Linked DNA regions of Coturnix japonica. The protein of the gene in region 1 purifies or fractionates together with the protein of each later gene. This does not show direct contact. Links are inferred from orthologs where the notes say so. Each region holds a gene or a part of one and is shown on either strand. Other genes may lie near its edges.

The links.
Region 2: the proteins of TDRD3 (region 1) and FMR1 purify together in Homo sapiens (affinity purification with mass spectrometry; 4 studies listed by BioGRID and IntAct, with this or other methods). This does not show direct contact. The link is inferred for Coturnix japonica from reciprocal best matches to the Homo sapiens genes TDRD3 and FMR1.

What each region holds. Positions count from the first base shown.
Region 1 is NC_029516.1:145,178,337-145,194,594, forward strand, and holds the start of TDRD3 (tudor domain-containing protein 3), read right to left. Parts: upstream 7,883-16,258; 5' UTR 7,797-7,882; intron 6,506-7,796; exon of another isoform or gene 6,502-6,505; 5' UTR 6,440-6,501; intron 1-6,439. UniProt on the Homo sapiens protein: Scaffolding protein that specifically recognizes and binds dimethylarginine-containing proteins. Plays a role in the regulation of translation of target mRNAs by binding Arg/Gly-rich motifs (GAR) in dimethylarginine-containing proteins.
Region 2 is NC_029519.1:17,288,161-17,304,418, reverse strand, and holds the start of FMR1 (synaptic functional regulator FMR1), read left to right. Parts: upstream 1-5,222; 5' UTR 5,223-5,439; coding exon 5,440-5,490; intron 5,491-12,955; coding exon 12,956-13,008; intron 13,009-13,983; coding exon 13,984-14,077; intron 14,078-15,913; coding exon 15,914-15,985; intron 15,986-16,245; coding exon 16,246-16,258.

The DNA.
Region 1 (16,258 bases):
TATGAACTTCAGCAGGATCACAGAGCTTCTTCATTTCTGAGTCTCAATTCAGCTCAGTTGATATTTCAGCTTTCATATAATCTTACGAGATCATATAAAGATGGCAGAAAACAGTGCTAATCTTCCCACAGAACAAGAAACACCATCACAAGATCATAGGCGAATCCAGAATCATAGAATGGCTTGGGCTTCAAGGAAGATCAAACTTCATCTACTACCAATCCCTCTGCCAGCAAAGGGGATCTGATCCAGGTCTATAAATATCTAAGGTGTAGATGGAGTAAATATCTAAGGTGTGGATATGTAAGTGGCGAGGCCAAACTCTTTTCAGCAGTGTGTAGAGACAGGACAAGGGGAAATGGCCAGAAACTGGAGCATAGGAAGTTCCACACAAATGTGCGCAAGAACTTCTTTACGGTGAGGGTGATGGACCACTGGAACAGGCTGCCCAGGGGGGTTGAGGAGTCTCCTTCTCTGGAGGTATTCAAGACCTGCCTGGATGCCTACCTGTACAACCTGGTGTAGGAAACATGCTTTGGCAGGGGGACTGAACTCGATGATTTCTGAAGGTCCCTTCCAATTGCTACAATTCTGCGATTTTGTGATTAAGTCATGTATTAGATCAGGTTGCCCAGGGCCTCATCCAGCCCAGTCCTGAACACCTCCTGGGGGAAATATTCCACAATTTCTACGTGCAGCATGTTCCAGCACCTCAGAATCCTCTCAGAGAAACATGTACACATGACATCTAATCTAGACCTCCCCTCTTTCAGATTAAAACCATTGCCCTTGTTCTGTCACTTTCTACCCACATAAAACACTGATTTGCCTTCTTCTTATAAGCTCTCTTAAGTAATTTGAGGTCATAATGAGGTCTCCCCAGAGCCTTCTCTCCTTCAGGCTGAAAAAGGCCAGCTCCCTCAGCCTGTCTTTGTAGGCTAGGTACTCCAGTCCTCTAATCATCAACCTATGCCAGGTAACCTTGTAAACTACCTTAAAGAATCATCGCTACTCACCCTGTAAAAACCATTTTAACTTGACCAAGTTAAAATTACACAGCAATGCTATTTAATACTTAAACTACCAAGTAGCTGTGTCTTGCTGAGTGTGCTAAAAAGTCCCATGAAACCCAGTACCAGCTAGATTCTGAAGGTACCATTTCTGCATTCATCAGCCCAACTCTAAAAGCTCCCTAGATCACTCTTCTGTGCTTTATCACAGTTCCTTCAAGCCACAGATTCACTCTTCTCTTGAGCACTTCTGCTAACTTCTAATGTAGAGATGAAAAATATGCAATTCTCATAAAATGTTTTTCTAAAATTCCAAAGAAACAGGAAACTAAACTGTACTACCTGGACCATAAGAACGAAGGCATCACCTAAATAATATGGGATCGAAGATAAGAAAACATTCACTTTGAAAGCATTTACTGACTGGACAAGTAACAATGTGCATATTAAGGCCAGAATGTTGTTAAACACTGTTCAGATGTTATCGTATTAAAGTTAAGAGAAATAAGTGTAAAAATAAATACACGGCATTTTTAATGCCAGACCACTAGTTGTACAAAAAAAGCTTTCAATGCCTAAATCTAAAGGATGCATATAAGAGTACAAAACGTAAGTAAAATAAACTGAGTAATGAGTCTGGCTTTAGCCATTATTAGTCCTATTATGAATAATCTGCTTAGCTTTTCAAGATGAAAAATAGAATAAGAGCATCTTATACTATATAGAGTATTGTACTATATAACATCATTACAATATTCATACTATATGTTTTATATTAATTTTTGTGAAAACTATAAGGTAACACAGAACACGTGAACTTGAAAGAGGAAAAATAGACAAAGAAACATCTGAAAGTTGATGTGATAATGAATTTCAAGTGTAAGCTACTGTTTTCTACAACTGACTGTATTAAAATCAAGTACTAGTAATCCAGAATGCGCAAAGATGACAGGATCCTGTTTCTCGGTGGTGGTGAGTTCTATTGTTTGTTTTGGGTTGTTCTTTTTAGAGCATATCAGCTTCCCTATTTCCACGCATTGTCTTTCTTGTTGATGTTACTGACTAATGTCACTAATGTTTTATTTTTTCCCACTCTATTGAGACCTTAAGCAAAATATTTGTCAAAATCACACTCGGAAGTAAACTTCAGACCACCTTGCAATGCCTTCAGAGCTGTGTATTTATTTAGAGAGCTGATTATCAAGCAAATCATGATTAGACAACGCCTAGATTTCCTCAACTTATGTGGTATAAAACATCAGCACATATTAGTCCTTCCTGTTTATTCACAAAACCCAGCAATGCTAATTCAAGAACATGCATGACTCTTACACAGAAAAACAAACAAACAGTAAGCAAATATCCACAGTGATAAAAAGTACTCTAGTAATGTAACTTAATTGTGTCCAGGAAGATTATTCACTCATATACAGTTAGTTAAGAAGTTTCTTCTACATGAGTAAGCATAAGGGCCCCACGTAATGTTCAGGGGTAAACAAATAAATAAATGATCTACACACTCAATGGAGGGGACTATTTCAGCAACAGCTGGAAACACCATGAAGAACAAACCAATAACATTTCCAGCAAATCCTTAAAGTAAGTATTTAATACCAGTTGTCTTTCAAAAATGCTTATACTGGCCTCAGGGACAGTTAAAATACTAATGCACACAAAGCATGGAAGTAATGGCTTGAACCCTCAGAAAAAAAAAAGAGATGTTCCAGATCAAGACTGGATAACAGAACATCCAATAGCAAACCGACTTTCTTAATCACTGTGATTGCAATAATATATAGCCTTTTAATAAATCACTCCCTTCTGATCTGAAAGCTATTGGAGTAACATTTGAAACAATGCCCAATAACTACCTAATATAACTGCAATAAAACTAGATAGTATTCTACTGTTTACAACACTGTTTTCCTAGAGGCATTGCTCTGACACACTCAACATGATCTGAAAACAAAAACCCAATCTTTTAGAAAGATTAAACCGAACATAGCTAGCGCTATATACTTTTTCCTCAAGAATACGAATGGAAAAATAACTCTTTAAAGCTCCTGAAACAGGCATTAGGAGAGTTTGAGGACAAGAGCTTAACTTAAAGCTCATAAACAGCTATAAAATGACTATTACTCTGTTTGATCCATCAGCATTACTGCATGCATTGACAGAACTAAGCCTTGTCAAAATCATCCTCCATTGGAAAAAAAAAAAAAGTATATATATATATATATATCAGGGAAAAGAATACATAATTTTTACATACACAGCTTTAAATAGCAGGACATCTGATATAGCACTGGACAGTAAATGCAAGCATCTCTAGACTGGAACTACTTCATGGAGACCAGTTGTAGCTGAAATAACAAATCCAATCATACCTTACAGCAAAAAAGTCTGCAAGAAACCAACAGACATCCACAGAGAGAGCAGAAGGCAACTAAGCACTGTTAGTTATACCGATGTATGGACAGGAACCAGGAAGCATAAGAGCAACTTCAAAGAATAATTAGAATAGGTGACGAGTTATGTTTTAACTGCTTACCATCAGCTTATCAGTACTCAGGATTTCACTGATCAGATAAATGCTTTATTTCTGAATGCTTGAGGAAGTAATGCTTAAATTGTAATGGAACACATATACTCAAAAGAAAATGAAGTAAATGTAGCATCACTGCTGAATAACATGTTCTAATTTTTTATAAGGCCTCCTTGTGTCTTTATTCCACTTAAAATACTTCACAAATATTCATGGTATACAGTCATTTAGATGGAAATGAATGTTCAGCTTTTTAAATCCTATGCAAATACGGCCATCTTGTGGCTAGTGCTGGTAGTATAGATTTTTTTAAAGCCATACAGAACAGATGTAAATAAATGATAAAATATTTTTATGTATTAATGACAATCACCTATGACGGTCAAGTAACCATACATTTTCTAAAAATATTTATCTATTGCATTTATACTACACAATAAATTTACTTTCCCTGCAAGATGGAAAACAGATCACACATTCTTGAGATACAGATACATAATGCGGATAGAAATTTTGTATGAGAGGAAAAACTATAGCATGAAATTTTTTGATCTGTTCTGAAGCATTTCTGAACTACAAACGACTGCCTTCTACCAACAGATTATATAGACAAGTCACTCCTGTCCCAATCAAGCCACCACTGTACTAAAAGGACATGACATAGTTGCCACTACTAAAACCTTGTAGGATGATTTCCACAATTGGAGTGCAGCTATCAACAAGTACAAGCTGTTCAGAAGGTGAGGAAGGACGGGAGAAGGCACTGCCCTTCACACTGAGGAAGGAACAGAGTGTAAAGACCTGTCCCTGAAGAATGGCAAAAGACCAGCATAGCTGAATGGGGATCTGCTGGTCAAACCAAAGAACAGGAAGACACAGGCAACAGAAGCAGAGACAGGTACCCTGTGAAGAATATAGGGATACTGCTAGGCTGTGTAAAAATGAGGTCAGGAAGGAGAAGGCCCAACTAGAACTGAACTTAACAATGAATGCAAATAAGGGCAAGAAAGGCTTTTACAGGTACATCACTCAGAAAAGGAAAGTTCAAGAGGGCACATCCTCACTTATGAGGAATAAGGGCAGGCTGGTAACAATGAACAGAAGAAAACTGAGGGACTTAACTTTTTTGCCTCAGTCTTCACTGGCAACTGCTCTTCACACACCCTTCAAGTGGATGGGTTGGAAGGCAGGAACTGGGGGAGTAATGTCCCTTGCACTGTAAGTGAAGATCAGGTTGGCATTCACCTGCAGAATCCAAACATCTATAGTTCTATGAACTGATGAGATGCATCTCAGAGTCCTGAGGCTGGTGTAATGGCCAAGCCTCACTCAATGATATTTGAAAAGTCAAGTCAGTCAGGTAAAGTACCTGGTGACAGGAAAAAAGACAGTGTAGCATCCACTTGTAAGAAGAGTAGAAAGAATGAACAAGTGAGGCGCTGGAATAGGCTGCCCAGAGGCTGCCAGTGCCTCATTTTTGGAAGTGTTCAAGATCTAGTGCTTGACCTAGTAGTTGGCAACTCAGCCTACAAGAGGGGTTTGTAACTGGATGACCTTTGAGGTCCCTTCCAACCAAAGATATTCTACGATTCTATGACTCACCTATGCACTGGGAAGGTCATGGAGCAGATCCTCCTGGAAGCTATGTTAAGACATATGGAAGAGAGGGAGATGTTGTAGGATGTGTGCATAAGCATGTATTCACCAAGGGCAAGTCCTGCCTGACTGACCTTGCTATTTTTGATGGTGTAACTGTGACTGAGGACAAGGGGGAGCCCCTAATGTCATCTATGTAGACTCTAGGAAGTCTTCTAACATGGTCCCCCATAACATCCTTCTCACTAAATTGGAATGATACTAATTTGATTGGTTGACTGGTTGATGGATGAGTAACTGGTTGCAAGACTGTACCTAGAAAGTAGTGATCCACGGCTCAGTGTCCGGAAAGAGATCAGTGACAAGTGGTACCCCTAAGGGGGTCAACATTGGGACTGATGCTCACTATACTTGGTCTTGACAACAGTATCATCAGAAAAAATAAATCTGGACAAATTTAAACAGCCTCACTCATCAAGCTTGTTTTCTTAAAATAATTCTGCTTTGATTTACTGCCATACTCAATTTCAACAGTAATGTAATATGTTTCTCAAGAAATTTCACATCACCGATATATGTCATGAGTATTTGGAATGTAGGAATAACTTCTTGAATGGAGAATTACCACTACCTTTAAAATATAATTCCTTGATTTATCTTATCTGTCAACTGAATTTTAGGAAGAACACAGGAAGAGCACCCCAGTGAGGTCAAAACTCAAGTACTACATAAAGATACAACAAAAGTCAAAAATCTGGAACATAAAAGTATAGAAAAAAAGAATATTATATAGATTATAAAGCACTGTATCATCTGACATGGATTATCCATACAGACTACTGGTTACACAACAACAAAGTTTACAGCTTTAATCACGTATATCAGTGGATAAATCAAGGTATTACTAACATATATCATTATGTATCATAATCTCACAGCTACTTTGCTTTATGCTTAACATGCTTTGTTGTTCTCACGAGTGAATAAGAGGGGAAAAAAAAAAAAAAAAGCAAAAGCAAAAGCAAGGCACTTGATATTAACTCAAAATCCAACAGTTTAAACTGTTTCTGAGTGATAAAGGAAGCTGCTACGATCAATCACATTTGTTTAAGGACTTCAGAATTTAGAAATAGTCTATTACAGTCTAGTGCACAAGCTAATGTGTTAACATATTTATCCTCAAATATTGGTTTAATTTGTACATGATATAATGCCAAAAAGAGACTAATGCAGTACAGATAACTGTCATCACAAAGAAATCGCAACAAGAGAAGTGAATATTATCTACCTTTTCCACCTTTCCACCATTGATGTCACTGGGGAGGAATTTCTTGCCAATGGTTCTTAAATCTGTCTGAAATTAATATAGAAGACAACAGAATATAAATCTAAAATATCCTATTTCAAAGAAAACAATCATAAAACAAGAAAAAGAAGGGCTTCTGTAATGTCAAAATAAGGATACTCTACAGATATTCAGAGCACATACCATAAAAGAGAGCATAGACATTCAACTTACTTTCTGTTGCACAATATAGCCACAGAGTGATAAGAAAGTACATTTGGTTTTCAAACTGAGCCCACCCAAGGAAACCGATCTGTCGCTTGCCTGTTATTTACCTCTGAACAGCACAGCAACTCCTTTGAACTGTCCCTGCAATAATCTGTATTCGTACAGAATTTGACAAGTCTCCAGAAAGATGCTTTGCAACTACAGCAACAAGGAAGGAGACAGAACTTTTACAAACCCTTTGCAAGATCTTAGACAAAATAAAAGCATTTGAAGAACTGAAGGCACGCTTACATTTCTTTCATTCCTATTCAAGCAATACACAAAAAAACATCAGTTGGCTTCTTGGTTTCTTTTGACTTTTAACAGCCAATGAGAGGTGTGAATTTTTAGGAAGTGGAATCTAAACTCTCTTTATCCTGCTTTTCAAAACACAATGGTATTCCCTACTTATCCAACAGGAAACATAATCTCCTGGGAATTTAAACAACAACTAACTTAAAGACAAAAATACTGATAATCCATTAAGATTGGCTTTGGGTACTTTCATAATATTTCTGGTTTATCTTGGTTATCTATCAGCCAAGCTGGAAATACAACACACAAATTTGTTTATTTCCTCGTGGCAGAAATAATTACTAAATCAAGATATCTACAGTAATTGAAGCAATGCTTGTAGTTACATAAATAAGAACGCATCATAGCAAACTCAATGTTTGCTTGAACAGGCTTTAAAAAATAGCATACCCAGAAGTCAATTTAAGTAAGGGTGTTTTACTAATCCTAGCAAGCTGATATTTTGTTCTATAATTTCTTAAATCCATACACAGCACTTCTGATTTCATTTCAAGTACTGCTTATACTTTAGATTTACATTTCCAAAACACAGAAATATCTTCCTACTGCAAATGATTCTCATTTTTCTCCCCATTAGGCTTCTAGTTGGAATAGGCGTCATTTCCAAATGAAATTCAGAAATAATTCATACATTCTGGGAAGGAGAAAGGTGCTTTGTCCTTTATGTAAATCGCACAGACAACAGTGTATTTAATTAGAGTTATAGACTTCCACCTGAGCCATCAGATATATTGTTTTCAGTGTGTTGTCAGAGAAAAAGTTCACAATCATAACTTACATTAAGTGCAACTAGGATAATGTCATTCGTATTGACTTTTTCAGATGAATTTATGCAAGTTTCGATTCCTTCATCTGAAAGATACCTGTGTTAAAGAAAAAAAAAAACAGACATATTAGGATATACATGATGTATGTAATAGGTGAATATCTGTTCTGCATGCAAAGATCATTTTTAGTTTGTATTTTCTATGTTATGAAACATAGGAAGAAAAAAACCACAAACAACCACATCAGTTTCTAAAGAGCAAGACGATGCACTCAAATGCTTTAAGGAGGCAAATATTATACTGTCATTCTACAAACTTTCTTCTTGCTCACCTAACCTACAAAATAACTTGTAGAAGTGGATTTGTATCTCCACATATCCCAAGAGTCAAATGTGGTGAACAATTTTAGAAACAGAACATCTCTGGAAGCATTTGAGATTTTCACAGTGGCAGTCCAGGATCACCACCTTCCTGCCAAAATTCTGTAAGCATGCAATAAATCTAATCACCTGGCAATTAAAGAAGACCCACTGAAAGGATGTGCATTATCAATTTAAAAGGGCTGACACATTCTCATGTTCAAAAACACTTAAGGAGAATGTAAGTTTTACTTGAGCAGTTAGAAACTGTGACATTTGTTGCTCAATTTGCCTCCTACTTCTCACTACAACCCCTCAGTTTTCATTCCCATGTAGATGGAGATCTGCTTTATCTGTACAGTTCTGCCTTTTCTTTAAAAACATCAACAGCAATCATTACACTGATAATTGTCAGACTCTGAATCTGAAACACAGAACTTGCCCAAATAATATTCATGTACCAATTACCTAACGAGAAACCATTATTCCTCAAAGAATAAATAACCATTAAAGGAAATAATAATAATAATAATAATAATTAAAGTTTAAGTATTCCAGAACACTTAAAGAAATATTTAAAGAGAATCATTCCCAAGTGTAAAATAAAATCATATAAAGATTTGAACGAAAGCAGACTCAATACACCTTTTTAATTCTAGCTCAGCTAACATGAACGTTGCCCTGACAGTGCTGCCAGACTAATTAATGATCCTCGTTGTGCTCTGACCCAGACACTTGATAGCAGTGTAGCTGTTCAAATCAGACACTGACACTTAGCAAATCCTGAGGGACCAGAACTCGATAAATAACTAAATAAATAAATTATAATGTGGAAGAAGCAATCCTATTTTTTCATACGGAGCATACACTAGAGAATAAGGTGGCAGGATTTGTTAGTCCACGCAGGAAAGCAGATTTCTCAACTGAGTGCCTCTGAGCTTGGGTATCACCACCTGTGAAGATTCAAGTGGTAATTCCCACTTGGAATTCTCAGACAGACTTGTTAGCTGGAATCGGAATGTAAAGTAGAACAGAAATCACACACCCTACCAGAGGAAATGGGAACAGGTATATTCTATAGGCAGCACTACACACCTGGGGCCTCAGCTGTGGATTAATTACACCAGTAGGGTTTCCATAAGGAGAAATTTAATAGAATCTGCAAGTCTACCTCCTATAATCTTTAGTACAGAGTTGAGGATCAGTTGTTTCAGGAGTGGGTGGAATACAAACCCCACAAGCTGAATTTCAGACAAGTTGTGGAAACATTCCTTCTCTTGTGCAAATTAAGTAATTCTTTGGTTCTGCTGAAGCTAGCAGAACTGCAATTCCATTATGAGCTACACAGTGTAGTACTGAGATGCAAGCACTAAGATTTATCAGCAGGAAAAAAATATATTCGTTAGAGAGTGAGTAAACAACAACCTGACCCAGAATTAAATTTTCCCTAGATAGGATAAAATTGATTACTTCTGCTACCATAAAACTCACTGCTGAGTCGTGTTTCCATCTCTCACTTAAAAGTGAAGGCTAAAACACAGCTGATAAAATTTCTTAGTTTCCTTTGTCTCACTACTTCATAGAATCATAGAATGGTCCAGGTTAAAAAGGATCACGGTGATCATGGAGTTTCAACCCCCTGCTGTGTGCAGGGTCACCAACCAACAGACCAAACTGCCCAGAGCCACATCTAGCCTGGCCTTGAATGCCTCCAAGGATGGGGCATCCACAGCTTCCTTGGGCAACCTGTTCCTGTGTGACACCTCCCTCTGAATTCTTCAAATGGTTTGAGACAAAATGATAAATACACATATGCACATTGAAAAAGGTTTTTCTTTTCTGACTTGTTAATATGTCAGTTAACAACAGCACTTAAGAGAAACATTGCACACCAGACTGAAATCTCCATCCACATTACAGAGGAGACAATAATGAAATGCCATTTGAGGACACCTTCTGGCTTGATTTAAGGAAACACTACAGGTTCTCAGCAAAAACACAATAATCAGTTTTTAAATTAGTCTTCAAACTAAAATAAATTTTTAAAAAAACAAAAACAAAAAAAAAAAAAACAGCCAATCAAAACAGCTTTCCAATAACTTCTCAAGTGGTGTTTCTGTGTAACAGAACATATAAGTAAAACAATCATCAGAAATGGTCAGGAGATTAGTGAAGAATTGCGATTAGAAAAGGCTGTATACCCAGACGGAACCAAAACACACATTTCTTCTACCCAGACAGAAGCCTGGAAGGAGTGCATGTCAAACTAATGATGTTTTAACCATTTAACCCTCTTGCTGCTTCATACAAGTAGTATTCCTAATACATATTTTCTTCAAAACTCTGCAAAGTTCTTTAAAATAAGTATATTTGTTCTCCTTATTGTCTATATTGCCTCCTGTAATAACTATCTAAGTTACAAACATTTCCTGCTACAGGCCCACAAAGTATTTAAGAAAAATAAATAAATAAATAAATAAGAGCCAGTAATTCTAAGAAATTTCTTCTAAAATAAATGCATTTGTACAGAGAAAACGTTTTTCAAGCATGAAATGGGAGTTATGATTGACCAAATTAGCTCTTTAGCTGGCATAAGGTCTGAAATTCCTTTGCTTGGTTGAAAGTCGCTTCTTTCTGTTCTTAATAAGGGTATGTGACGTGCTGAATGTACAGCACATAGCAAAAGACACTTCATATTTTTCCCCCTTTATTATATAGAAGAAGAAAATCTGACCCTGAACCAAAATCAAAATCAGAGAAACCCTCCTCAGAAGGAGCCCTGGAGATCAGCACCTGCATTACAGTCATTCAAGTGCCTCACAGCGCCTACATTAACTGTTCTGCACATTTTGCAAGATACCATGACCTACCGCAACCCTACATAATGAAAGGTGAACTACAAAATGATCCCATTACACTAATCCAACATGATTCCTACCGCCAAGGGGTGGGAAGCACTCCTAAGCTGTCCATGAACTAGATTACACCGCTGGAACCTGCTCATGAACTCAGAATCCCCAAGACATAGCTGGCAGCACTGTACAGATTCAAGTACCATGGGACAGATCTTTTTCTGCACACCTTAATCCCAAGCTTCTCCCTCTTCTTTGAACGAGGGGGTGGGGGGGGGCACCACATGGAACAATCCAGCACAGGAATATTGTGCTGTCACAATCAAGACATTTCCCTTCATATTTTCATTAAACACACAAGTCAGAAGTCAGAATTATGCATGTGTACTTAAGGAGAAAGTATAAAAACGATGAAATAAATGGGTGAGAAAAGCCAAGCTCAGTAAAGCTTTTAAGAAGCACAATGCAGGGCAACAGCTGACCACTGACATCTTACACAGACAGTGATGAAACAAATTATTTTCTTAACATGTAATGCAAATAACAGTATCCTGCAAGATATCCTGCAAGTGAAAGGCTTAAAAGAAGGCAACTAGCTTCCAACTTGCAGCTTATTTTTTGGCTTTGTCCACAATGTTCTTAAACATCCTAATACTACGCTATTAGATGTCAGGGCAATTTTTTTCATTGAGAGGGTGGTGTGGCATTGGAACAGGCTGCCCAGAGAGGTTGTGGGTGCTCCACTCTGGAGACACTCAAGCCAGGTTAGATGGGGACTTAGACTGAGCTGGTGGGTGGCAGCTCTACCCACAGCACAGGGTTGGAACTGGATGGGCTTAAAGTCTCTTAAAACCCAAGCTATTTTATGATGCTTTTGAGGAAACAGCACGTGTGTGTGCATGTTACTCACTGAACTTCTGAAAGCTGGTAATTGTATCAGCATTAATTGCAAGAATTTTCAGTTTCTAAGGAAAAAAATACTCACTAGAGTTGAACAATCTCAGAGGTTATAAACTGAAGTAATCAGACAACTGTATCGATTTCAAAGGAATTATACCAAGTAATGCTCTATGAGTCACACAGGGATTTTGCAGCCTTGAAACATTAATACAAATTAAAAAATAAGAAATAAAATCGGTTTACAACTAAATGGGCTCCAAGCTGCCTCATAAGGTTGAGATGTTTATCAGCGGATCATTCTCTTGGGAGAGTAGACCAGAAGAGAAAGGAAAATAAATGCTTCTCCTGCAATTCTTCCACATTATATTTGCTGGAATCCAAGGGATATTTGTCTCATCTATTCCTCCTCTACGCATCCAGCTTCACTCATCTGAGAAATGTAGCAGCACAATCCTCTTAGCAACAGCTTTTGTCAGAAGAGCAACTCCTTTTTAAACAGAAGGCACCTGTTCTTACATTTCTGAATGAGACGCTGCAGTGGCAGTATTACTAGGAGAAATCCACTAGTATTTTGTGGGAACCATTCACATATAAATCCAACTCTGTAATTTTTCTGTCAAAACGTTCTCTATTAGCTCCTAAGAAAAACAAATTTTGGCAGTTCCTCCTAACAAAATAAATACGAGTGGTAACACTGAAAGCTTTTTTCCCCACTGCTCCTTCATATCAACTGCGACATCAACCTAATAGTCCACTTCTGAATGTTTCCCGCAGACACCCACACTCTTCTCTTTGATATTTCCCATTGTTGGGGGCTGTAATTCTGCAGTACCAGTCTCAACTATGTCCCTAGCCAACTCATTTTACCTTCTGCTTTACCTCATCAGGAACAGATTACACCTGACATACCCTAATCAGACAGATTTGTTACTGCCACACTATAACCACCTGCATCTGAAGCATTAAAGAAATCCTGCTACCAAAGACAGATGCATATTTGTGCTTGCCTGCACTTTACTGCTGGATCAAGTACCTCATATGCAAGCAAATGTGCATATGTGCATGTAGAAATTTTACAGTGTTTAAATTAAAAGCTTCATTCTAGAATTAAATCCACCTGGTAAACAACTTACCTAATGCTATTTTTTTTCTACCAGCAGCTTTCTTGAAAAGTCTGTTTTTGCTATTTGCAATTAACAGTCCATATTCAACCAAAAATCTTCCCTTGGGGTGAGAAAGAAAGAAGGAAGGAAGGAGGTAAGGAGGGAGGGAGGCAGGAAAGAGGGAGGGAGGCAGGAAAATAGTTATTAATAAGCATGCTAAATAAAATTTATGTTTTTTAATGTCCATACCTCTCCACAGAAACACTGAAACAGGAACCAAAAATGCAAGCTGCATTAACAGTACTTCCCGTAATTCTGGCAGCCACCTAAAACAACTCTGGAGTTTTAAAGCAAATTTAACATGGCTAATTCTAATGTGTGTGTGCAGTAACAAAAATGTTCTTCCCATTTCTTCCCGAAGAAAACAGATTTATGCAGTCATGCCACACAAAGAGCAACCTTTGTAGAGAGCATTCACATTTCTGATAGCTGGTAACGCCACGAAGGGGAAGAACAATTTTAATCAAGTTGAACTTCACGCAATAATACAAAGCCACCAGTGGGTGCCAGTATTGCTCCACAGCAGAAGAACCTTACCTTCACATTACGTATTTTAAACTTGTGCTGTAGTCTTTTGATAGGGTTTCAAAATGTTCTGCCGAATTACAGTTGTATAAAGGAATTATACCGCAGTAGTACAAATTTTACTGAGGCACTATCATTAAAGCTGTTTTTTAAAAAACACAAAACACATTTGAAAACATTATTATGCTAAACATGGAAATCAGGTTTAAAAATAAGGCTTCTTCATGCCCTATAACCTGCGTAATGCTGGGTAGGCAACTGACATTGCTCTGTTTTAAAATAAAAAGCCCAGACGTTGAAAGGATGATGTAGTATTATGCAAGCTACTAGAGAAAATAAAACAGAACTTGAAGGTGAAGAAGAACAGAGGAGTTATGAAAAGGATTCCTAAGTCCTAACAAAATTAGGGCCGAACACTTCTTCATCTGCAAGGCAAACATCTGTCAGTAATGACAAATAACCTCCACTGTTGTTTTCAGTAGCATTCTTGGCAATTTTACTGTTACTATCCTGACATCCAGAAAAGGGATTTTTTTTTTTTCCCCAATGTCTAGCCTTGCCACATTGCCTCCTGTTGCTTCTTGTTTTCTCCACATTTGTGGGGCAGAGATTGTGCCTTTCCTTTTTGCAGTCGCTGAGCCTCACTCTCTGTACTTACAGAGATGATCATTGCTAGCCAGAAGTATTTTTGTTCTCCCATCACTTCTCCAGTTTGTTAATTTTACTTTGAATCCTAATACTGCTCACTAACAGCTCCACATTCCTGCAGAGCTTTATCTTGTGTTTAAGCCCAGAGCTTCATGCTTCACCATTCAGGTGCTTAATGAGAGTATCAAACAAAGCCTGACCTAGACGATGCCTCACATTCTGACAGTGAGCCTTCCACAGCCATTCTTCCTAGTATAGTCCAATCAGACATATAACTGCAGCAAAGGAACTTTACACATAATGTTTCTTCATTTTACTCCTTAATGATAGGAGGGTTGGGGAAGCTGGAAATTGCCAGTAGAATTCCACTTCTTTACATCATCCAGAATGCTGAGAATTACAGAAACGTGGTTGTAATTAGGTTGCTGTTCAGGTGAATGGATACCAATTTTACTTTTAAAACATTACTGACATTTATAGAACTGCTGCACAGCCAGCACAGCACCCGGGCTCCCTGGGCAGCTAAACTTGTATCCTAGCTCCCTAACTTTTCACTCCTGGACATATAACAACACTAAGTGCTGTCTGTAACCCAGGTCAAGCTGAAACTTCAGCAAAACACTCATGAAAAATACATTCCGAAGCTCCAATTCTCACAGTTTTAGCTGACAAACCTTAAGGCCTTAACCTCCCTTCAGGTGTCTGTAATGTCTGACTTTCAATAAAAACACCATCTAAGAAAGCCAACATATTTTTAGAACATAAAAACAGAAAATTATACATATATGGTTGGGAGTGTGGATCTGCCTGGGGGTAGCAAGGCCCTACAGAGGGATTTGGAGAGGCTGGAGAGTTGGGCTGAAGTCAACGGGATGAGGTTCAACAAGACCAAATGACGGGTCCTGCACTTCGGCTACAAAAACCCCGGGTGATGCTACAGGCTTGGGGCGGAGTGGCTGGAAGACTGTGTAGAGGAAATGGACCTGGGGGTATTCATTGATGCTTGACTGAAAACGAGCCGACTGTGCCCAAGTGGCTAAGAAGGCCAAGGGCATCGTGATTTGCATCAAAAACAGTGCTGCCAGCAGGAGCAGAGAGGTTGATTGTCCCACTGTATTCAGCACTGGTGAGGTCGCAGTACACACCTCGAGTACTGCATCCAGTTTTGGGCCCCTCACTGCAAGAAAGACATTGAGGCCCTGGAACGTGTTCAAAGGAGAGCAAGAAAGCTGGTGAGGGGTCTGGAGCACAGGTCATATGAGGAGAGCCTGAAGGAGCTCGGAATATTCAGCCTGGAGAAGAGGAGGCTCAGGGGAGACCTTATTGCTCTCTATACTTTCCTGAAGGGAGGTTGCAGTGAGCTGGGGGTCAGCCTCTTCTCTCATGTCATTAGTGATAGGACTAGAGGGAATGGTTCCATACTGCGGCAGGGGAGATTCAGGCTGAACATTAGGAGGTATTACTTCTCAGAAAGGATGGTCAGGCACCGGAATGGACTGCCAGGGAGGTGGTTGAGGGAATGACTGGATATTGTGTTGAGGGACATGGTTTAGTGGGAGCTATTAGTAATAGATAAATGGTTGACTGGATGATCTTTTAGGTCTTTTCCAATCTTGGTGATTCTATGATTCTATAAATAATCCTATATATATATATAGGATCTAGTAAAAGCAAGACAGTTGCCATTGATTCCCCCTTCCCCACCCCAGAAAGCAAGCACAACTTAATTATCCTACAGTAAAGTCTATTTTGCCAATGAAACCATGACCTAAAGAAAGTTCAGAGCATAGGAAAAGGGAAAAAAATAAAATAAAAAATTAAAGCCTGAAGTGCTTTAAGCAAAATCAATGCAGTAGCTTCATCCTAGGTTATTCCTGCCTAAAACTTTCAGTAAAAACAAAGACCAATAGCTTCAGAGTTGTGGTCTTAAACATTCACAATACCAGATACACAAAAATTATTTAACTGCATGAGTGATACCCGCTGAGAAGCTCTTTAAACCACCTCTGCTCCTACCTCCTCCTCT
Region 2 (16,258 bases), on another chromosome or scaffold:
TCATGAGGAACTTGTTAAACATGCAAAATTTTGAATATCGTGGGGCTAAAAATGAACATTAGAGATTCTAACAGAATTTTTGATGCAAGAAATTTACAATGGATATAGCATTTAATTAAACATACAAGATAAAATTACTATGTCTGCAAGTGGAGACAGTGTAAACAGCATATATACATGAAATTGTATCATATGTGGCAGAAGCCATTGAGTTAGTCTTTAAAATAATGCAACAGTCTCTTGTTCACTGAAACATTTGGCTACAACTATAAAATGATGAGGAGTCTGAACCATTTGGTCTAAATGACAACTTGGTGGGGGGAGGGTGGGTGAGATGTTACTATCCCAGTCCCCAACTAGAGGTAAAAAATGCAAATTTTTTTAATTTTTATTTATTTAATTTTTTTTTCCTCACTGAGCATCAGAATGTTTGCCTAAGTAAGAACTGGATAAAATTCCATTGAGAGACTTTAACAGTTATGAGATAACCACCTTTTAAAAATAATGCTACTTCCCACTGTTCATTTCTCAGTGCCTATATGAATGGCTTTTCAGAAACCTAGAACCATTTCTTTATGATGGAAAGTCTCTGCTTGCTGCTGTCCTTCTGAAAGGCAGACATTGATGCCTGCCTTTTAAATGCTCAAGTTGCTACCATTTCTGAGGAAGATAGACAGTGAACAGGTACACCTAAGAGAAAAGTCCAAGGGAAATGATATTAGCTAAACTAGTACTGAAGATGAAAGGTAAAGGACTTTGATATGCCCTGAAACATGCCGTTTACCTTTGCTTCCTGCACTTCAACATTCCTAAGGACAAGGTATGAGGAAACATTTTTCTTATATTCTCTACAAATGTTTAACAAAGCACCTAGGTACATGCATAATGAATAAATGTTTATTACTATTATTATTATTTTGTTGAAGAAAACATATTTCAATATGCAGTGTGTCTCAAATACTTTCCAGATTAGTTGATAAGTCTGCAGTCTGCAGACTGCAGTCTGAAGTCACAAAGCAGCATAGATCTGAAAAAGAACTGAGCAACTGAAGGACCAAACACAAGACTTAAAGCAGATGAACTGAGATGTTTGGGGACCACGAAATACTATGAGGATGGAGGGGAGAAAGTATTTTGGTCCAAACATAATCCTGCAGTCTGTGTAATGGTATTGAACACCAGAGTTACATATGAGAAACCAAGTCAAACATTTGAATTAAACATTTTACTTTTATATTTTAAAAGACCAAAGTATTTTAGTATTTAGATCTTTACTGAGATCTATTTTTGCAGAGTCACCACGTTTCTGATAGACATTTAAAAGGATGTGGTTTACATTAAGGCTATATAAAAACTAGTTAATTAGTGAGCATCACATTTCAGAAGGGATTGACAATTCAGTCTGAAGATAGTTCAAAGTAAAATAGCAGAAACAGTAAGCAAATTGAAAAAATACAAAGAAACATTAGGAGTCAATGAGCAGAAAACTGACAGTATGCTCTCAAGATACATAAATTGGTCTAAGCAGACAAGGATAAGAATGTTTGCTAGACAAGACAAAACAGAAAATGCTGAATTTAAGTAATGGCAAAAATAAATAAATAAAGAATTGGGGAAGATTGTACAGTACAGCAGTGTTTAGCATAGAGGAAGTAGTGAAATGATCACTCGAAGACAGCTAAATTAGACATCCTGAGATGCTAACTGCTTAAAGATAATATACCTGCATGGCAGCAACCTATTTTGTTAAAAAGAGAATAACTAGAATAAATAAAAAATGCCAAAAAAAACTTACCTAACTTTGGTTTAGGACAGTACATGATCTCTCCAGAAGAATTACTCGGAGTTTAAATAAAAAGGCATTCCTAACATGAGAAATAGTGACAAGAGGTCTATTTTTCCTAATGTTTTTCATGGTACTGATACTATGTTACCTTATCTCCCCAGTGTTTTGTTTCATATACAAATGTTGCTACTCCTCTTTCAGCTTCTCCTCTAGTTCTCTTAGGCACTCTACCAACACCAAACAAGCCAGTAGTGAAATAGCCTGCTCAATGAGCAATGCAAGTTTTACAGTAAGTCATTACACTGAATCGACACTACATTGTACTCAAGAATTTGCTAAAATTAGAAAAATAGAACTATAGAATCATAGAATCACTAAGGTCAGAAAAGAACTCCAAGACTGTCCAGTCCAACTGTTCACCTACCACCAATATTTCCCCACTAAACCATGCCCCTTAGCATAGGAACATTTCTTGAACACCTCCACGGTTGGTGACTCAACCACCTCCCTGGGCAGCTTGTTCCAGCAAGTGACCTCTCTTTCAGAGAATAAATGTTTCCTGAAGTGCAACCTGAATTGCCCCTGGTGCAACTTGAGGCCATTCCCTCTAGCCTTATCACTAGTTACATGGGAGAAAAGGCTGACTCCCACCTCACTACAACTTCCCTTCTGGTAGTTGTAGAGAAATATAAGGTCTCCCCTGAGCCTTCTCTTCTCCATACTAAGCAATCTCAGTTCCCTCAGCCTCTCCTGGTAAGATTTGTGCTCCAGACCCCTTGCCAACTTCATTGCCCTTCTCTGGGCATGCTCCAGGGCCTCAATGTCTTTCTTGCACTCAGAGGCCCAAAACTGAACACAGTACTCAAGGTGCAGCCTCACCAGTGCTGAGTATATGAGGACAATCACTTCTGTGCTCCTGCTGTCAGCACCACTTCTGATACAAGCCAGGATGCCATTGGCCTTCTTGGCCATCTGGGCATGCTGCTGGCTCATGTTCAGCCAATTGTCAACCAACACCCCCAAGCCCATTCTCTACACAGTCCTCCAGCCACTCTGTCCCAAGCCTGTAGCATTGCCTGAGGTTGTTATGGCCAAAGTGAAGGATCCAGAACTCATTTTTGTTGAACTTCATCCCATTGGTCTCAGTTCAGCTATCCAAACTGTACAGATCCCTTTGTAGGGCCTTCCCATCCATAGGGCAAATCAACACTTCCTGCCAACTTGGTGTCATCTACAAACTTACTGAGGGTGCACTCAATGCTCTCGTCAAGGCCATCAATAAAGATATTGAACAGGACAGGCCCCAGTACCAACCCCTGGGGAACTCCACCTCAGGATCTGGATTTAACTCCATTCACCACCACTCTTAGGACCCTCCAGCCAATTTTTTATCAACAAAGAGTGTACTTGTCCAGGCCATGAGCTGCCAGCTTGTCTAGGAGAATATTGTGGGAGACTGTCAAAAGCTTTGCTGAAGTTTGGGTAGACTATGTCAACAGCATCTCCCTCATTTTCCAGGTGGAAATCACTCAATCATACCAGATAAGGTTGGTCAAACTGGACTTGTCTTTTGTGAACCCATGCTGGTTGGACCTGATCCCCTCATTGTCCCACACATGCCATGTGATCTCCCCCCGACGATCCACTCCAAAACATTACCTGGTATGGAGGTCAGGCTGACAGGCCAGTAGCTTCCCAGATCCTCCTTAGAAACCTTGTAGATGGGAGTCACAATGGCAAGCCTTGAATCCTCTGAGATCTCTCCAGTCAACCAGGACCTCTGATAGATGGTGGAGAGGTGCTTGGCTATCACCTCTGCCAGCTTTCTCAGCACCCTTGGGTGGATCCCATCTGGCACTATGCAGTTGTGGCAGTTCAGGTTGGGGTTAGTTGATATCTAACTGTTTTCACCTGAATCTTGAACGGTTTATTCTGCTCCCCACCTGAGATTTCCAGGTTATGGGGTACAGTACCCAAAGGATAACATCACAAACAGGCAAACACAGCATATGGGGATTACTATAGACAATCCTAACTCTCTCTCACACACACAAAGAAGATAATTTACAAGGTTTGTGGCAGTAACTTAAAAAACAAGAGAGATTAAATTGTAGACACAAATAGCAAGAGGTTTGAAAATTCATGATGTGCAGTATGTCATTCCGTGGCTTACACAATGAGAACACCATGCATTCAGAGCAATCACAGCCATGGTCATATACTGTAATTGTGATTTTTGAAGGTAAGAATCGAACCATTTCATCTTATCTTATTCCCCGCAGTTAGTAGAAAAGCACATTGGAAGATCGTGCTGGTTCTTGCATAGCTCTGATGACAGGCTGTACGAGCAGCATTAGTTCCATGACACACAATGCTTTGCCACAGCTACATTTCTTCCCAGACACCACCACCAAGTGCTATAGTGAACTGCATGCACACTGCTCCAGTCTGTTTTAAGAACACTTAAAACACTTGTAGGGTTGGAATTCACACACTAAGTGACCGTACACTAAGCTTTCAGATACAGCTGAAAACAGCAGACACAGCATGGCAAACTTTATTTTTGTTTCCATACACAGAGCTGGTTGAACGATGCCCCGCTCTCACATGAAGGCACAGAGGACCAGCACACCTGCCACCCAGACCTTCTGCATCGCTGATCACAGAATCACAGAATGACCCGGGTTGGAAGGGACCTCAAGGATCATGTAGTTCCAACCCCCCTGCCTGGCAGGGCCACCAAACATACACCTTTACTAGATCAGGTTGCCCAGGGCCCCGTCCAACCTGGCCTTGAACACCTCCAAGGACGGGGCATCCACAACCTCCCTGGGCCCGTTATGCCTCTCATGAGCTGTTTAGGCCACAGCCGTCAGGCTATCAGGCAGTGCAAAGCTCATTAAGACCCATCTCCCCTCTAGGATGTAATCAATCCTGCGCCATGAGCGCTCACATCACCAACCCCCTTCCCGCGCCCCTCGGCCCCTAAGCCCCGCCTCCACGGCTCTGCCCCAATCTGATTCGTCCAAACACCGGTGGCAGAACGCAACGTGATTTGCCAGCGGCGCAGTCACTCAGAGTCAGGACGGCAGGCTCGCGTGGGCCGGGCTGGATCGCAGTTTGACGCCGTTGCGGCTGTGTACGAGTGCGCGAGTACGCGCTCGCGAGATCGGGGGGGTGTGGGGCGGTGCGCGGCCGGGCCGTTAGGCAGCCGGGCAGCCCGGCAGTCGGCGCATGCTGCCTGGGGCCGGTTCCCCGCCCCGCCGCAGCCGTTCACGTGACGGGATTCAGTGGTTACAGCCGAAGCGAGCGCCTTCTGGCCGCCCCTACTCCTCGCGCGCCGCCCGGCGGTGGCCGTTTCGCTTTCATTTCCCGGAGGCCGAGGCCGAGCGGCGGCGGCGCGGAGCGGCCTGCAGTGCCACCCCCATCACCCCCCACCCCCTGCCCCGCCCCGCGCGGCCCCACCCCCGCGGGCTCACGGTGAACTGAGATTCCCCTTCCCCTCCCCCGCCCGGCACACGCACACCACACCTTTGCCTCCTCTTCCTCCTCCTCCTCCTTCTCCTCCTCCGGGTCTGGGAGAGAGAGAAAGAGAAAAGCTAAAGGAAGAGGTGCTGAGCCTGGGCCTCCCGCACCGCGCCGCCGCGCACAACATGGAGGAGCTGGTGGTGGAGGTGCGCGGCTCCAACGGGGCCTTTTACAAGGTACCGGGCGCTCGGGCTGGGCCGGGCCTCAGGGGAGGGAGCGGGGCTCGGGACGGGAGGAAGAGGAGGAGGCGACGGAGGCGGCAGCGGCTCCTCCCCGCGTGGAGGGAGAGTGGGGCCCTGGGGCAGGAGGGAGGAGTGGGGGCCGCGGCGGGGCCATCGCTGCGCCCGGGAGGCGGGAGGCGCGACGCCGGGGAGATGCGGCCCTGGGGCCGAGAGCTGTGCGGGCTACAGAGGGAGGGAAGGCCCCGACCGCGGAGGAGGCCTCGGGCCTTCGCCCATTGTGGGAAGGGGAGGCCCCGGCGCTGCTGGGGCGGGGGAGGAGGGCCTGGGCCTTCGTCTCCGGGAGCTGGAGCGAGGATCAGGGCCGGGGATGGGGCGTTAATTGTTAAATCCTTGGCTTTTGACGCTACTTAAGGAAAGTCTTTCTCGCTGTCCAGGTTCCCGGGAGAGCTGCACTGCTGGTGCACGGCGTTTAAGGCGGGGGAGGAGAGGGGTGCTTGTTCTATAGACGTTCACGATCAGAGCTGTTGTCAGTTATTTTTTTTAATCCCACGGCTGGGGACGTTGCATATTAACATTGAGAAGGGTGTTGCTTGACCAGAAATGTTTGCTGAGCTCCTATATGCATCTTATTATCAATTGTACCTTTTACTGAGCAGCGTTCCATGTTTGTTTCCAAGTCTGTGTGCTGAATAAAGCCATCACTGGTTCTTCAATGCACATATTGAGCTCTTAATTTTTCCGTTAATACTGGAAACTGGCGTGGCTTTGCTTGTGTTAAGATGTATTAATTAGTGTATCATTGGGTGCAAGGTATGGTTCTACCCTGTTCACTGAAAACTCGAGTTTGAGCATGGTGAACGTGGTGGGCCTACTATCATTGTCACATACACCTGTTTACAAACATACCAGAAACATTCCTCAATCTTTTCCTGCGAGTTTTCTGTTCTTTAAATGTTGTATTATTTTAAAATGTGGACGTTGTTATTGTGCAGCATCAAATATTTATGTTAGTAAGGAAAGAAGAGGTAGAATTTCACACTCTGATGTTAATGTGGTAGGGCAGACTGGTACCAAATGATACAGGTCCAACACTCTTTTGACTTGAGTTTTTTTTCCGTGGAGACAATTTAAAAGCTTCTAAAATACATTTGTTTGTCCTCCTTCCAGAGAAGTTTAAAATAAATTAAAAAGGAAAGTATGGAAGAAGTCTGAATGTTTGGTACACAGATGTATGCTGTGGGTTTGCAATGTTGAACTCAAAGTCCTGGATCTACATATCACTTCCTGTAGTTAAGTTGTTTAGTGCTTTGAAAAATCAGCTTTAAGGGTTTTTTTTAAGGTACAGTATTTGCATGGGAATAAACACAGGCATAAATATGTTACTTAAGAGAGAAGCTCTAATGAGGCTTTCCTCAAATCATATGACAGCATTTACACAGTAGTGCACAATAAGTGATACAAAAAATGATACTGTACGTTCTTTAATAACCAATGCTGTTAAAGCGACCAGGGAGATTATAAAACTTCTGTAAACTTTTTTGTAGTCGCATGTAGTTCTAATGTTTTTACGTTCATTTTCCCCTCTCCTCCAAAGTGTGTGCACACTTCTGATTGTAGTTAAGCTAATAATTACAGATAGGCATATACTCAGAGCGGTTTATTGCTTACATTTAGTTCAGTGTATCTGAGTTATGACATGGGCGTTGCTTCCAAATTGTAGATGATAGAAATATATAGAATATAGATATAGAAATTCAGATAGAGGAATTTGACTTTCTTTCTCCCTTCCCCTCCTTAGTCTGTAAGGATTGGTTGGGAGGGATTGGTCACATTATCTAAGGGAACTTAAATGGGACATGTAGGTTTATTACAGTTCATCTGTATTGTCTGTCTGGATGGAGCATTACACTTAAGATAAATAGAGCAACAGATTAATTTTCTTTTAGTTTTATTTATTTAGGGGGGAAAAAAGCCATCTCATGCAGTAATGCTCAATGTAGACCAGCAATTTTGCTGTAGCCTAAATTGCTGGTATTTTATTTACTGATCTTTCACATATCGTAATGTTTGGCTGTCAAACTAATATGAAGTAATTTATCTGAACATTTTCTTTCTTTTTGAGTTTTGTGCTTGTCTTGCAGATCTGGGACTTGATTATAAAACGAATTGATTGATCCCTCCATCACAAGAAGTGCGGAGTTGTTCAGTGTGGACGTAATTGCAGGATTCATTTTTTTTCTGCATAAGAAGTTTCTTTAAGCAGTCTCGTTTTACAACAATAACACAAAGCATATCTAAAGCAAATTTTTTTAATACCATCTCATGGTTTGCTGATAGTTTCTTCGGTTTGGAATCATTCTTGTGAACTTCATTATTATATGTAAATATTTTGGCAAAAAGAAACCTTGCTTCTGTGAGGATGTAGAGGGAAGGAATGTGAGGCTGCTGGAGTCATGAACAGGTGGAGTGGTACAAATCAGTGCCTCATTTCCCCTTGAGGCTTTCATAGGCTCTCTAAAGACCGTATGAATTCAAGTCTATAAGTGTGTTCTGATTTTGAGTGTTCCCAGCAACATCTTGATCTTGAAAGTAAAAAATCGGTGCCTAATTGTCACCTGAATTCTACTGAGAGACACAAACTAGGCTGTGGGACCTGATCCAGAATACATGCTGAGATGCATCTAAAGGGGTAATGTTCCATGTGCAACATAGGAGTTGATTTTGGTACTTTGGTAGATGGAATATGGATTGAGAATGTGGAAGATTTTAATACTGGTCAGGTTCATTCTTCCGCAAGAGTTCTTGAATGCATCATTTTGATAGCTGGATACTAATTCTTTCAAGGAGTAATGATTTAATTATGTTAAGAATGCTTTGCCATTCCATGAACTTTTTCTTCCCATATGACTTGTTTCATGGAAAGTATAGTGCAGTAGATAAGCATAATGTAGGAATAATCAGTAATTTAGTGCCTGAAAATGCTTTGTCATGACTTCATACACTGCTTGGCCCAGAATCCCTGGGAATAAAAGCTTAAATAACCTTATTTACTTTTAAGGCTATTCCAACAGCCAGGGCTGTGTATCTTAAGGAGACAGAACTGCCCTTTAGCAGCCCTCAGTTAAATAGCTAAATTGTGGAGGTGCTGTTAGGGTCTGTTGTTTTACATCGTGTTGGTTCATATAGTAATAGAAGGCTTTCATATTCTTATTGTCAGACAGTCTATTGTCCAGTCATTCCAGTGTTAGCTCTAGATATTATTTCCTTTGAAAAGAGAATGTAGTGGATGTCTTTTTAGCATGGGATTTATTTATTTATTTTTCCTTTCTCCAGTTTGGGAGTAATTATTTGTTGTAATCTCTGCTGGCAATAGGGAGCATCCTGTTGGAGGCAGCATACCATTAACAAGCATCTTTGTTCTCTTTGTTCCTTCACGGTCCTTCTGAGGATGATAGTCTGTGCTATTTTTTCTGATTCAGTTTTCAATTCTGTGACTTTTCTTCTTTTCCTGGTCTGCCTTTTTGTTCGGTTTGCCTTTTCTCTAATGTGATTTGCCCTTCCTTATGACTCTTGCAACAGGTATGAAATGTTACAGAACTGTTAGGCAGGTGTAGATATTGGTCTGTATAAATGTAAGTCTTTTGCCTTCGAGAGCGTATTTTTGCTTATCTTCACTTCTTAGATTTATTATTCTCCATTATTAAAATGGTTGACTGTTTCTTTCTGATGTAAGGGTTAGGAGGGACAACAGCACAAACTCTTAATGGAAGCTACAGCCTCTGTTCATTCCTTTGAAGCATCCGTCATGCCATTTAGTGCATAAATAAGTTTATACGTGTCTCCAGTAATTCTTACTGTCTATTTAGTAGTTCATAAAGCATGGAGAAAAATGCTAATAATTAATGTGACAGAAAGTGAAATCTGGTATAGGAAACGTGCCACAATTTGACTTTTCTTATCAGAGAAGAACAAGTAGACCCAGCCTCTGTAAAACTTGCTTCTATTTACAGAAGTAAAAGCACAACTTGCAGTGATGTGAATTTCTTTGTATGGTCTCTAACTTGATGTCACTGCAGTCAGTGATATCGTAGCTGCTGTAGTCACAGCGTCCTATTTCCGTATTTTAGTTCCATCTAGTTTCACTGTGTTTTCAGAGCTTCTTGTGTGTGTCCATATTTGTCGTAGCCAGTGTTCTATCTCTTGGGTGTGCATTTCAAGTCCACATATATGCACATTTAGGTTTGAGTTTCCATGCCCAATTTGGACTTCTTATTTCTGAAAAGACTGAGGATTGCTTACTGTGCTTCTAATAGCAGTTTGTGTGCAATCAGTACCTATCCTCTGCCTTCAGTGACATCTGGACTGGCTTATCCTGTTGTAGTGAATTTGACTTGTGATGATGATCTGTTGCTTCCTTTCAGCATTACGTGTAGTTTTCTGTGGTACGTGTAATAAAAAATACAGTGGTGTTAAGCGTTACTTTCAGCTTTCCAAGTGCTTTAATGATTAAGTTGGTTTTTATTTTTTACAGCTACTTAGAAAACTTGATGTTTCAAAACATTACGGTTTGTACTTAGAAATGCACAGGTCCTTAAGTGTACAAACTTAGAGCTTAAATTTTACTTAATACGGGTCTATTTAACTTGTTATACCTGTGGAAAATAGACATAATGCTGTAATATAGGCTGTAAAAAGTGATCTGATCAAAGTATCAGATTTTGTTTTTGATGTCACAAGATTGGAACTGCAGAACAAGGAAAAGCAGCTTTCTCTAGAATTAAAGTAGAATTAAGAAACTGTATGTTTAGGCTCTTGATATATTTTGTCTGATTGTTATCTAAGCATAAAGCTCATAGAAGTAGACTGAGGTATTGTGTATGTCATCTATTTGAATTGATGTATTTGCTAAGAATTTTATGTTTGTAAGATCAGCAAGGCTAGAAATCAAAGAGTGAATAAGTAACATCAATGTTTTTGGCCAGGCTGGAGGAAAAAGCAGATATTCTGTCTGTTTCTGTGGTTGACTCCTCTGAAGTCAGTGAAACGTCTTTACTGATGCTGCTTGTTCACGGTCAAAAATTCTTGATTAAGGCACGTTCAGATTTCTGGGTTGAGGCCAAAGCAGTGTTGAAGTGCCTTCATAGGATCTGGAAAGTGGGAAAGCTCTATAATAATTAACTTGTAAACCTTTGTGCATTATTGAGATCATCTTCAGCCTAATGAAGCTCACCCTTCTTTTATTGTGTGACAGCCAGTAACTAGCTCTTCAGTCTTTAAACCAGGACATGATGTTAAATTGAAAACAAAGATTGCCCATAGTTAAATATTCTTTCAGTGAGCTATTTGCTTTACATTTTCCAGATTTTTATAAGTGCTAGACTGTTTAAAGGTGCTAGATCAGTCTTCAGTTTGATAACTTAAGTTTGTGTTGCTATCTAGTGTGTTTATTGATAGTAGATTGCCAAATCTAGTTGCTTATGTTGCTGTAGTCGGGAGCTTCTACTCAAGATGATTTGGATGTTAGGAGCTGTCAGGCCTGAATATGAGAATTTTTTTAAACTACTGCGCTCATGCATTTTTCTGTCATAACCCATAATATTCAACAGAATGAGTTTTGGAGCATCTTCTGGGTTGTTAATGACTAGAGAGGGGATGACTTCTCCGAAAGGATCATTCATCTTTCTTTAGCGGAAGCAATTTTTGCTGTTTTGTGAATGTGATAATCACGTATCAACAAGTTATTTCTCAGGACACAGTATTTATTATGTTACTCTTAACTGTTTTCTTCACGGCTGCTCTTGGTAGCGTTTCTGTTGGATTCCCTTTATAAAATAACTTTTGTATACTCAAATGTTTCTAATAATACTAAGTCCTATCTTTTCCATTCTGTGGTGTTAAGGAGTCATAGCAAACACTCGGCAGTGTTATTTCAGGTATTAAAGGCATCAGTTTCTGTTCTATCCGTAAGAATAGGTGATTCAGAGCTGCGCATGGCAAGATATAAAACAACTTTTGCTCTTGTTGTCACTTTGCTTTGGCTTCTGTTCGAGATGGCGTTGTTTTCAGATTAATAACTAGCATTCTACTTCTTTGTTGTAGTTAATGTTTCTAATGACAGTTGTGAATATCTACTGCTTACTTTAATTATAATCAGTTATTGGAGCTCCATATTGGTCATTAGCTACTGCTTTGGTTTGATTTTGTGAGATACTGCTGTAATTTAGCGGATGCTTGAGAATACTTGTGAAAGAAGCTGGTGGATTTATTTATTTTCTTAACCTCTTAGGTGCCATACCTAACAGAATCTTAACACTCTTTCAAGACCTGTTATTCTTTTGTTGGGAACTTGAAAAGTGGAGAGAAAGAAATGTACTACAGTTCATTAATTACAACTTACAAGAAGGTTGCTGTTAAGTTATTTTCAACTTACTGAGAATTTGTTCATCTACTGGGGTGCACCTCCTTTGGTAGAATTCACTTCTGTAATCTCTCTTGGACTTTCATTCACCTCTACTTTGCAAGGGTGTGAGAAGCTTGGATAAATGCTAGTGATGAAATACTCAGCACGTTGCTAGTGCCCATCTATTTCAGTAATTTTTAAAGGTATTTTTGAAAAGAAACAAACAATGCATTATTTTCAACCCTCATTGCTGTGTGCCCTCTGTTTGAGGCTATGAAAAATATCTTTCCTAGTGAATCCCTAAGTTTTTTTAATTAGAATATAATCTTGGTGTGTGGTGGATGGGGGAGTTTGAGCATAGAGCTGAGAAATGATCAAGGGTCATTGAGTTCAGTAGCGTAAGTGGAAAAAAGCACCCTCTAGGCTTATAGACTTAACTGTGTGCGCTGCTTCATGGTTGTGTGGGAGACTTAGCACAGCTGCTATTCATTGCCCAGAAGAAAGCAAGGAAGGCTGCAGGGCATTTTGCTTAAGTTTGTATGCTAAGGATGCTGACTGTGTGAATGAAAATTGTGCTAGAATGGATATGTGTGATTTTTGGTGGATCAATATTCAGGCTTATCTTGTGGTGAAACAAGTCTTTTTTTTTTTTTTTTTCTTAAGGGTAGTCAAGTTTAATTTCTAAACTGTAGTTTTCTTGTCAGAAAGTATGAGATAATAACTATAACTCAAGTTTAAGACATTGGATTTCATATCTCATACTTCAAAATGATTTTGTCATTTGTTAGTGACCTCTTCCATTATTTCTAAGAAATAGAAAGGCTGTGTGTATTACTTGGACATTCTGTTTGCCTGCCTGTTTACAGGGGTGAATTCAGGAGGTTACCAGCTTTCAGTGCATGTTTTATATTGGTCTACTACAATACGTAAAAGGCTGACTCAAAAACATATTTACATTCTGAATAATACTAATATCTGTGGAAGAAAAGCGTTGTTTGAGGCTTGTTTTTTAAAAGTATCTGCAGACATACTGTAAGTGTACCTCTTTTTTCTTCACAGGCATTTGTAAAGGATGTACATGAAGATTCAATAACAGTCGCATTTGAAAACAAGTAAGTATATTGCTGTTGTATCTGCAAATACAGAGTTAGGAGAGTTTCTATCTTGAATCTGATGAACCTAAATAGCACTTTTGTTGACGGAGAGTGGCATCCTTAAGATAGTGTATGATTCTGCTGCTATGTTTTAGAATTAGGGGATTAACTACTATGTACGTTTTGTCTGTGCTTTCAATTGTTTAAATATTTTAAATTACAAAAGCAGGGGAAGGTGAATGATCTGAAAATTGTATTATCGGACTTACATAATAGCAACCAGTGTTTTAAGTAAGCGGTGATACCATGACTGCTTCTATCTTATTTGAATATTTTATTTCAGATTTTCCCAATTGCTTTATTACAAAACTTGTTTTATAGATGGTGATGAATGCCAGTTTCCCATGCTTAAATTTTGTACCATGATTTAGTGGCACAGCAAGTTAGTCTTCTGTTACATTGTTTAGCTTAGATTTTGTTTCCTTCAGGAAGGAAAACCAAGGTGAGGTGTGTGTATGTATATGTGTATGTACATATATAATCCTATCTAGTGTATCTTTGTTATGGAGTAGTGTATTTTTTAGGGGTCATTTTATGGTTACTTTTGGAAAAAAAACAAAAAAAAACAAAAAAAAAACTTGTTAATTTTATTAAATTTTAAAGAATTTTAAAATTCAAAGTGAATTCAGACATAACCTGGGTTATTTCCTTTTAAGCTAAAGATGAAAGAGACTGATTTTGAAGTAAAAGTTTAAAAGTGTTAAGAATTTTTTTAACCTGAATTTTTGATGTTGGGGATAAAACCTGTAGCTATAAATTCTAAAAACAACTGGAAGGTTTCAAAACAGTACAGGTAGGAGCAAGATTTTGATATACGTACGCAAATGCTCTGCAAAACAAAAAAAAAAAAAAAAGATGAAATGAAATGAATGAATTTATTTCTTAAAAGGAAAGTGAAAGTGTTTAGGTCATTCACTGTATTTTCATTCGTAGCTGGCAACCAGAGAGACAAATACCATTCCATGATGTGAGGTTTCCACCACCTGCAGGCTATAATAAAGACATAAATGAAAGTGATGAAGTGGAGGTATGTATATTCCATTAACAAAGTATGTTTTTGAGAAGAGAGAGAAAATGTCAGCCAAGCCAGTGGAAGGCTTGTCCCCATATTATGTTGCAACTCTTTTGATTTGAAATACAATGTAGAAAATGATGTCAAACTTACCCTCAAAATGTATTTTTGACAGTATGACAATATCATTATGTGTACACTGATTTACAAAAGAGATGAGATTTTCTTTGAGCATGGATCTTTTGTCAGAACTCAGTGATTTGTAAATATATGCAATGTTAACTTGGACTATAGTTCTTTAACTACATTTAGACTTTATTAAATGTGTGTGTAGATAAGTTAATATAATGTCTGTTTGTTAGCGAAACTTTGAACTGAATGAAAAAATGTGCATTCTGTATACAGGTTGCTCCAAAGGTAATGCCTTCTATTTATTTCCATGGAAACTACAACAGTTACAAAGAGCACAATAGCAGAATCACAGAACTGTAGGGGCTAGAATATCTCTAGAGATCAGGTCCAACCCCCTTGCCAAAGCAGGCTCTCTAGACCAGGTTGCACAGGTAGGCGTTCAGGTGGCTCTTGAACATCTCCACAGAAGGAGACTCCACAGCCTCTCTGAGCAACCTGTTCCAGTGCTCCATCACCCTTACTGTGAAGAAGTTCTTGTGCACATTTGTGCAGAACTTCGTATACTTCAGTTTGTGGACATTTCCAATTGTCCTGTCAGTATGCACTACTTAGAAAACTCTGGCCTCTTCCCTTTGCCTCCCAAACCTTAGATATTTATTGATCAGATCCCCACTGGGTCATCTTTTCTCAAGGCTGGACAGGCCTGGGTCATTCAGCATTTCCTGAGGTGCTCCAGGTCCTTTGTCATCTTTATGGCCCTCTGCTGGACACTACTTAACAGAGCAAATTCTCAGCTGCAAAACACAATTTTTCACCATAGTCAGCCACCATTAGCGTTTTTGCCAGCAATGAACAAAGGCTGAGCTTGAAAAAATCCACACAGGCAAATGTCACCTGATAAATGTCAGTGGGTTATGTTTTTTCTGCATGGAGGAGTTCATTTCCATACCTTTGCTTCATACACTCCATTCTGTCAGGCTGCCTCTCAGCTGCCATCTGTCACATGGTGACAGAATCCAACAGAATATGGACAGGAAGGCTCTACCTCTACTGTCATATCACCAGCTTCCATCTCTGATGTCAAAGTAGCAGGCATTACTTTCTGGGCAGCCTTCATACTATTCCTGCAAAATACAAGTAAACATAAAGATACATGTGTAAACACCTCTGTAAAGCTAGCAGGAGCCTGGATTTACTTTAACATGTTCTTGAGACTTCAACATTTTATAAAGCAATAATAAATTTTCTGCTGTTTATAAAAAGTGAGAACTTTGAGTGCTTAATAGCATGTGAGCAAAACTTCTGATTTGAAAAATAAGAAAATGTAAAAAAAATTAATGTAGTTACAGCCAGTATCATGTATGTACTGAAGTAGTAAAGAACTGTCTTCCTGTCATCCCCCCACACTTTGGATCTGCATTCAGGTAAGAAGCATTGTATAACATACAGAAGGCTGGATTATCCCTATTTTGACTGTACGCAAGACTGAAGCTACAATTGCTGGTAGATCTCTATGATCTTATATAAGTAGTTTTATATTCTACTTATATTTGCAGTAGTTACTTCAGCTGTTAACATATGTGCTATTTAGTTCTTAGAGTGGAGACTGTAAGTACTAATATGTTGTGCTGGTCTTCACATCTTTTGCAGGGCTGATGTTAATACTAATCTGTATCAGCTTTTTGGGCTACAACTGTATAATGTATGTATTTTGTTCAGGTTTATTCCAGGGCAAATGAAAAAGAACCCTGCTGCTGGTGGTTGGCTAAAGTGAGAATGATAAAGGGTGAGGTAGGAATATGCACATAATATATACTTACTTAAAGTTTTTCTTGTGTTGCTTTCATTTGTATCGATGTAGAGTGACTTTAATATTTCTCCCTTCAACTTCAAAAAATAACTTGACTAGAATAGTTGCAATTAACATAAACCAAACTCTTCTTGCTTGAAGTTATAGTTTTTGAGTTAACGAAAGTGCCTCTAACTTGTTAGTGTAATTCTTAATCTTGTAATAAAACATGTCTTGGATGATTTTATTATTTTTATATCAGTTTTATGTAATAG